Linked DNA regions of Ovis aries. The protein of the gene in region 2 purifies or fractionates together with the protein of the main gene of each other region. This does not show direct contact. Links are inferred from orthologs where the notes say so. Each region holds a gene or a part of one and is shown on either strand. Other genes may lie near its edges. The genes, in order: SAMD13 and L3MBTL3.

Evidence for each region.
Region 1: the proteins of L3MBTL3 (region 2) and SAMD13 purify together in Homo sapiens (affinity purification with mass spectrometry; 3 studies listed by BioGRID and IntAct, counting the BioPlex papers as one, with this or other methods). This does not show direct contact. The link is inferred for Ovis aries from reciprocal best matches to the Homo sapiens genes L3MBTL3 and SAMD13.

The regions. Positions count from the first base shown.
Region 1 is NC_056054.1:61,363,398-61,366,597, reverse strand, and holds the end of SAMD13 (sterile alpha motif domain-containing protein 13), read right to left. Parts: exon of another isoform or gene 1,951-3,200; intron 1,945-1,950; coding exon 1,801-1,944; 3' UTR 781-1,800; downstream 1-780.
Region 2 is NC_056061.1:55,649,317-55,653,622, reverse strand, and holds the start of L3MBTL3 (lethal(3)malignant brain tumor-like protein 3), read right to left. Parts: upstream 2,969-4,306; 5' UTR 2,885-2,968; exon of another isoform or gene 2,804-2,884; intron 2,272-2,803; exon of another isoform or gene 1,819-2,271; intron 1,027-1,818; exon of another isoform or gene 886-1,026; intron 776-885; exon of another isoform or gene 1-775. UniProt on the Homo sapiens protein: Is a negative regulator of Notch target genes expression, required for RBPJ-mediated transcriptional repression. It recruits KDM1A to Notch-responsive elements and promotes KDM1A-mediated H3K4me demethylation.

The DNA.
Region 1 (3,200 bases), on a different chromosome or scaffold from region 2:
ATATGTTTTGTAGACTGTGAAAACTTCAGGATGGAGAATGTCTCTTTCTTAAACACTTCTCCCACTTATGCAAAACAAAGCATTAGATTTCACGAATTCCCTACATGTCCAGTGGTTAGGACTCTGAGCTTTCATTTCCAAGGGCCCAGGTTTAAGCCCTGCTTGGGGAACAATGATTTTATAAGCCAAGCCACACGGTGCAGCCATGAAAAAACAAAAACAACACGCCATAAACTCCATAATTGAATTAATTTGGAATACAGTTTTGAATCCCACTCATTTAGACTTTCTCTTCTTTAGAGAAAACATCTCCATAGGAGATTGAATTATAACAGTCTCTGAAATAAGGACTCTTTAACTTGAGGAGGGGAAAGAGAGAATTTTGCAGAGTCCATCAACTCTGCAATGTTTTGTATGTGGGAATATGAGTTTTCATTTGGAGGGAAGGTCCAAAGTTTTCATCGGAATTTCAAAATATTCGTGACACCCCTTCCCCCACAGGCTTATAGCTAAAAAAGAAAAAAAACAGACAAACAGTGGCTAAAATGATACCCTAAATGATAATAAAATTAGTTGTAGGATACAGGTAAGGAATAAGGCTGACTTAGACAATTCAGTTTATAAAGAAGATAAATCTACATATAGATCTACACGTCTTCTATATATATAATTAATTTCTTAAAGCAGGCTTAACTTTCTCTCCATGGTTTCAAGGAGTGACCTCGAAGCCCAACCAAAGAGGCACCAAACTGAAAAGATAAAAAATGAACACACTGAGAATAAACTTAAGCAATGCTTTATTGTAACCACAAAGCACCAGTTCAATATGGCATCAACACACAGAGACTGAACAAATGTCTCTTTGAACAGAGATGAAGCAAGCCCACTTTTTCAAGTTCTTAAAAACAAGTACTCAAACCAGAAATCAAACAAAGCATTGGAGGAATTAAAAAAATAGTACACCATCATGAAGGAATATATATATAGAAAAATATTCTGTACTGGTAACAAGGCTTTTTGATCTATAACTCTTGGCAAATTTCTTCAGAAACAAATTATTATAAATACAAACCATAATGTGGGAAAAAAGTCTTCTTCAGAAACCAAGAATCGATTTAAAAGCAGATCTATGCAGAAAATACCATTAACCCCCATGAAAGCTAACTGAAGATAGATGGATATCCCCAAAACACAACAGAGTTTCTCTTTCCAGAGCTACAGTTCTGCTTCTAAAGGGGCCATGATGTACGTCCATTTCCAACATGGCAGCATATCCCAGTGAAACCTTAATAAGGTCAAGTGGAGGACCCTCTATAAAAAAGGGTGTTGGCAATTCCATCCAAATAACACAAGCTCTAAGGAGCAGAGGACTTCAAGGGAGGTGCAATCCCTTTCTCTTTTATCCCCCTCCCCAAATTTTCTTGCTTTTGATCTTCCCTGTTACAGTCAGTTACCTCTGTAACTGGAAGATGTTCATTCCATTCAGTTCTATTTTCAAGGAATTTGGGAAAGTAATCTATGAAGAAAACCCTCCTTGTGGGGAAGGGTATCTAATCTCATCAAAGACCACTCTATTTGACTAGGTCAACAAGGTAAACCATCCTGTTTGCATGTCCTCACTCCTCCTGGCTGAGTTCAGGTTAGCCGATGGATTGCCTAGTCTATCCCATAGGATAACGTTTCATTTGATTGAAATTCTTTACATATACACATGTATGTATTCTGTTTACAAAGTTTCATCACATGAAACCAAATTCTTTCATTATGTATTTTTTGAGGTCCAAGACCCCAATTTGACTACTAGGAAGAGTTGTGCTTTAAATGCTTTGTCTGAAGAGGTTTTACATGATACTCGTAGATTTTCAGAGCAGGCCCCAGTTTTAACTGAAGTCCTGTCAACACATCATTTCTTGTCATCAGTAGCAGGGATTTTCCGTCAATTTCCTATAATGGAAGCAGAAGGTAAATCCAACATGTAAGTCCAAAAGTTCAAGCATAATGCAGAAAAACAGAAGGAAGAAGTTTTTGTCTCCACACTAAAAACATTACTATTTTTTTTTAAACTAGTGCCCCAAATGTAATCTTCTATTTTTATCTTCCATCTTCACCATTTATTTTGGAGTTAAATATAATCTACAGCTGATTTTGTTTTCAAGATCACATCACAAATGTCACATCTTAAAAAACTGACAGCAAGCCTGGAGTATGTATCCTGAAGGATCAAAGACGAAGCTTCTGAAAGGAAGACCGACACTTTGCATTTAAAAAATGTTATTGAAGTTTAAGAAGAATTTTTGTCTATTTAATTCCCAAAATCACTCCATAAATTAGGACAGGTAGGAATTATCAACTTAATTTTATAGGCAAACCGAGGATAAAGGCAAAAAGTTAGCTTGCCCAGAAGTTACAAAAGAATGGCACAGAATTTGAATTCTCATCTGCCTAAAGCCAAAGCCCATGCTCTTCTCATAACTCACTTCTGTTTCTCTTGACACTTAGAAGCAAATATGTGTTGTCTCGATGGACCAATGGGGACCAGAGTCAGGTTTTCTGAAACCTTTTCGATCAGAACAGCGGGCATTGGAAAAATGACTCACTCTCTGAGAACCTTTCCTGCCCTTTAAAAGGAGAACCATCCTGCTTCAACTTGAATATCAACTCTCATGCTACCTACTCCGTCTTAGTGGAGCCTCAAGAATCCAGATAAGGCAGCGAGGGGCAGGGCTGTGCCCACCGGAAATTCCCTTCCGGATTCCCCTTAGTGTCCACGGGCCCCCTTCTCTCAAGCCCGCGGACTTCTACCGTGGAGACTACAAAATTTTGAAATGACATAAAAACAAGCTTCTTGTGAAAGAGATGAGGACCCCACATATAGAAAGTAGTTTGAAACTTTTGGAAAAGGGCACTGAGAAGAGTGCTGAATACAACCTTATCTTTGTTATTGTGAGGCAACGCTAAGCTAGTTCTAAGGAGACCTGGGTTCGTGAGATGGACCAGCTGCGCATGCTCAGTAAACTGCACACAGCGGCACGTGACTTTACCCGCCCACCCCTCCACCGCCAATGGGCAGACACGGAGACTCGCTGTGCACCTGCAGCTACGTAAAGCTGTGACTCCCTCCCACACTGTCCCCAAGGGGGCCATTCCTCCAAAGCCTCTGATGTACATCGCCAGGCTGTGAGGAAGATGTGCTCTGAATG
Region 2 (4,306 bases):
AAATGTATAGACAATGACAAATATTAAAAAAAAAAAAAATCAAACAACTGCGTCTAATCCATAGTGACCGATCTCAAATCCCAGAATAAAAGCAAAGTGTTCATAGAAGTCATGAAGTTCAGAAGGTTCTACTTTCCTATAGAAGTACCCCAACTGGAAGGCTGGGTCCTTAGATTTCATTTGCTCTCCGATTTACCAAACTTTCTATTTCTGATCAGCATCCTTTCATTCAACATCTGGCCCCTGGCTCAGGTCGTCTAATCACTTCCACGTCTGAACGGACTACGTAGCTAAAAAGTAAAGGCCAAAGTTTGCTCTCGGCCTTCCGAACTTAAAGACGCGTCTAACCACTAGAGGTCTCCCCTTGGCCAGTTTTGCACGTTCGCTATTTTGCTGCACTTGAAACTTTCCGGAGAAATGCTCTACTCGAGTCAGTGTTTTTCTAAAAACTTGCGCAAAAATCCACGCGACCGAGTTAGCCAGTACGGAGACTCTCGGGCTCCCCACAGCAATAAAGCTATCACAAACAACATTCTAGGAAAATTAAAATTCGACGCACTCGCTCCAGCCGCTCCCCCCCTTCTTATTTCTCATCTCAGTTTCCCTTAACTTAAACTTAGAACAATCAAAAATCTATTTTTGTTTCGGTGCACCGTGAATGATCTCTAACGCATTTTTTTTCTGGCGGTAGACCCGAGGTGGTCAAGGAGCCAGCCGAGGGATGCAGGGAGGGGGGAAGGGCCGTGCTCGCAGCGTCCGAGGAAGTTGCATAAGGAAAGAGACTCCGTTTTTTGGGTCCCCTCAAAAAATCGGCAGGGAGGGGGAGGAAAAGGAAGCGGGGGGGCGGGGGGGAGGAGGTAGGAGGGAAACTGAAGCGACGTTTACCTTCGTCTCCCCGTGGAAGGGTGGGGTGAGAGCCGCGATCGTCGCGACCCCGGAGGGCGGCTCGTTACCCCCACGTCTCTCCGAGCGCAGACGGACAAACAGATACCCCTACCCCTCCGCGGGGAAGGCGGGGAGCAAAGTGCCCGCTTTTAAACTTTCTCTCACGGTCGCGCTGGGGCCGGGCTTCGCCCAGAGAGGGTGGGGGAGACCGGAGGGCCTTTTTCTTTCAAGGTAATTAAAGTTTTACCACCAGCACGAAAGTTGCGCCCTCCCCCCGCCCGTGCCACCGTGCCCCCCTCCCCCGCCTCCAGTGCTCCCAAGTTTTCCTCCCTCTCCCCCCCCCCCCGCCCCCGCCACCAGCTCGCGGGGCGCGCGGCGGATGCCTCGGCTCCTGCGCTTCCCCGATCTCCACCCCCGCCGGCCTCTACTTCCCCCCGCCGGGCCGCCGCGGCGCGAGGACGGCCGGCCGGGCCCAGGACGCTAGTGTGCAAAACCCATTATTCCGGAATGGCACACGCACGCCGCGCCAGGCGGGCGGCGGCCCCGCCTCGGACCCCTCTCTGCCTCCCCAATATAAGGACGGCGTAAACAAGTTGCAGGAAAAGCAGCCCCGCGCCTCCCCCCCTCAACCCCCCCACCCGCGCCCGCCGCCCCGGCGCGGCCGCGGCCGCCGCCTCCCGACACACGCCCGCGCCCGCACCCGGCCCGGCGCGGCGCGGCGCGGCACGGCGCGGGGCGAACGCCGCGACGGCGCGGGCTCCCGGCCCGGCCCGCGCCCTGCGCCCTCCCCCGCGCGGACGGCCGCCGCGGGCCCGCGCCGCCTCGCTTCCCGAAGCACTTTCCTGCCTCGGGCAGAAATAAACCGGAGGGTTTATTTTTGTGCAACTTTCCCAAAATGGCGGAAATTGGAGCTGATCTATATGAAATTCTCACACAGTCGGTCGGGAAGTGGGAGGCGGCGAGGAAGAAAACGCAAACTCTCGGCCGCCGAGCCCGCCGCGGGTCCGTGAGTGTGTGCGTGCGTGTGAGTGTGCGTGTGCGCGGTGGGAGTCGGGGAGGCCTTTCCGCCGCGCACACACACACAGCACACGCCGGGGAGACGCGCCTGCACATTCAACCAGTCCATTCTCCGCAGCCCGAGCGGGGAGAAAGTGGCCCGGCCTCTTTTCCCACTGCCTCGGTCTCCCGTACTTGTACTTCTCGCGCTCGCTCGCTCGCTCTCCGGTGCGCGCCCGGCACAAAGGCCACACGGGCGGAGGGGGCCGCAGGGGCGGCGCGCGGGGCTTGCGCCTCCCGCCGCACCGATACGCGGCCCCGGCCACCCCCGCGCGCCCCCCCCCAACCCCCGCCGCCGGCGCCCCCCGCCTCGGCCGCCGCGCTCGCCGCCCGGGCTGCGGCTCCGCGGCGCCCACTCGGGCACGCACCCCGGCGGAGCCCGGCGCCGCCGCGCTCCCCACCCCGCGCCCGGTGTCATGAAAGCGACCAAAGTGACAAGCTCGGGGGGCGCGGGGGAGGGGGCCCACACGCATCCCGCCGCCTGCGCGCGGGCGAGAGCCCGACGCGGCCGCCTCGCCCCGGCTCCCTTCCGCACGGCCCCCCACACCCTTCCCCGTGTGCGCGCAAAGAAAAAAATACAAGTCTCTCCTCCCCCCATTTTTTCCTTTCTCTTTTCTCTCTCTTTTGTTCCTCTTTCACACTCGCACTCACTACTTCAGAGTGAGATGCCCAGAGACTCCCCCTCCAGCCGTTTCCGAGTCACTTGCCCACTTTTTTCCCCAGGATTAAGTTTTCTTCTCTTTCCCAGAGGCGCAGAGAAGTGGGGGAGAAACCCCTTCTGTCCTTTCCCCTCCCCTGATCTGTTTCACAAGACGAGGGTGCGCTTCCTTCTCTGTAGAGGTCTCTTAACTTTCATCCTCACCTAGGAAAATAAATGAATGGGCTTTGGCACGGACAAATCTTCAGATTAATTAGAGATTAGATCCGATCAACCGCTTCTTACCCCCAAATTTTCTCTTTTTTTTTTCTCCGTCTCACGAGTAGTCCTGACAAATGGTCCAGGGCTGCGGGCGCAGTGCGCATGTGCGCGTAGAGTCAGGGCTGGGGAGAGGGGAAACTGCGCTGGTGCCGGTGCCGCCGTGCCGCCGCCGCTGCCGGGGAGGCTCGCGCTGGCTTCCCTGTTAATGCTGCTGCGCCTTCGCCGCTGGAAAGCAGCATTAAAGCCGGTTGGCAAATGCAGCAGCCCGCAGATCCTGTTTCAGGTGCATCTTTTCAGTACCCTTGTCACCAGCTCAGAGCTGGTTCCAGAACAATCAAAACAAATATGAAAGACTGCTAAGGTGATAGATTTCTTTGTCTATTTTCCACTTTACTTTTTTAAAAAAGGCATTTCTCAGAGCAGCTGATCCACCATGTACTGTTAAACGTATGCTTTCAGCCATTAAAGAGTGGGCCTTGGTCTTACAAAAACACAACCTAAAGGCTAAACACATGCTACAGGTCAGGAGAAATGAGAAATAAAGTTTTAAGCTCCCCCCACGACCGCCACCCCCCCCCCCCCCCCCCCGCCCCACCGCGCACACACACACACACAACCTCTCTCTCTGGAAGAATGCATTATGAAGTGTGCATGTAAAGTATCCGCATGCCTTGCGTTTCTTAGTGTTGGTCTTTATTGACAGCTTAAATGCGTTAGGCCTCTGTTGTGAAATCTGTTGGGATACATATGTCAACTTAGAAATCAGTGTTAAAGTCCTCTGGCAGTAAGCAGGTCGAGGACTACCTTCTGAATGTATTCAGTCAAGATGGCTGAGCGGTCCTAAACAGCAAAACCTGTCTTTGTTAGGGCATCAAAACCAAATCAAGCAAGAGTATTGTTTTTCGGTATTGACAGCTTTCCACTGATTGACTGTAGGCCTCTTTTGGGGCAGCTTACCATTCTCTTTTTCTACTAGGTACAAGTACTTAGAAAATAATTCAGGAAATTGAAGTTGTGATCAACACTTTTAGGTCAATAACGGAGTTCATCATGCAAGGAAAAAAAAAGGAGCGGTGGTAATTTCAGGACTAGTGGAAGCAAATTTCACATTTTGCTGGGGTGGGGAGATAAAGTAAGGCCCCCTACCCCTCAGAGTGGACTAGTTTGCATCTAATAAACCGTAAAGGAGGCCCTTTTCCAAAATTGCTGCCTGAGGCCTAGAATTTAAATATATCACAGATGGAAATTCTGTATTAAAAATCTTTATCCGAAATGTAAGTAGTAATATTCTCGATTGAATGTTTTCACTTCGGGAATGTTCCTTGAACCAGTTTCAGAAAAATAAACTGCTAAATTCTTTCCTTAGGACCATGAAATTACCCTAAAGAGACAGACTACTCCACAGTGTCTTCTGCTGGAGTAGTGACCGAATTCTCCAAACCAAAA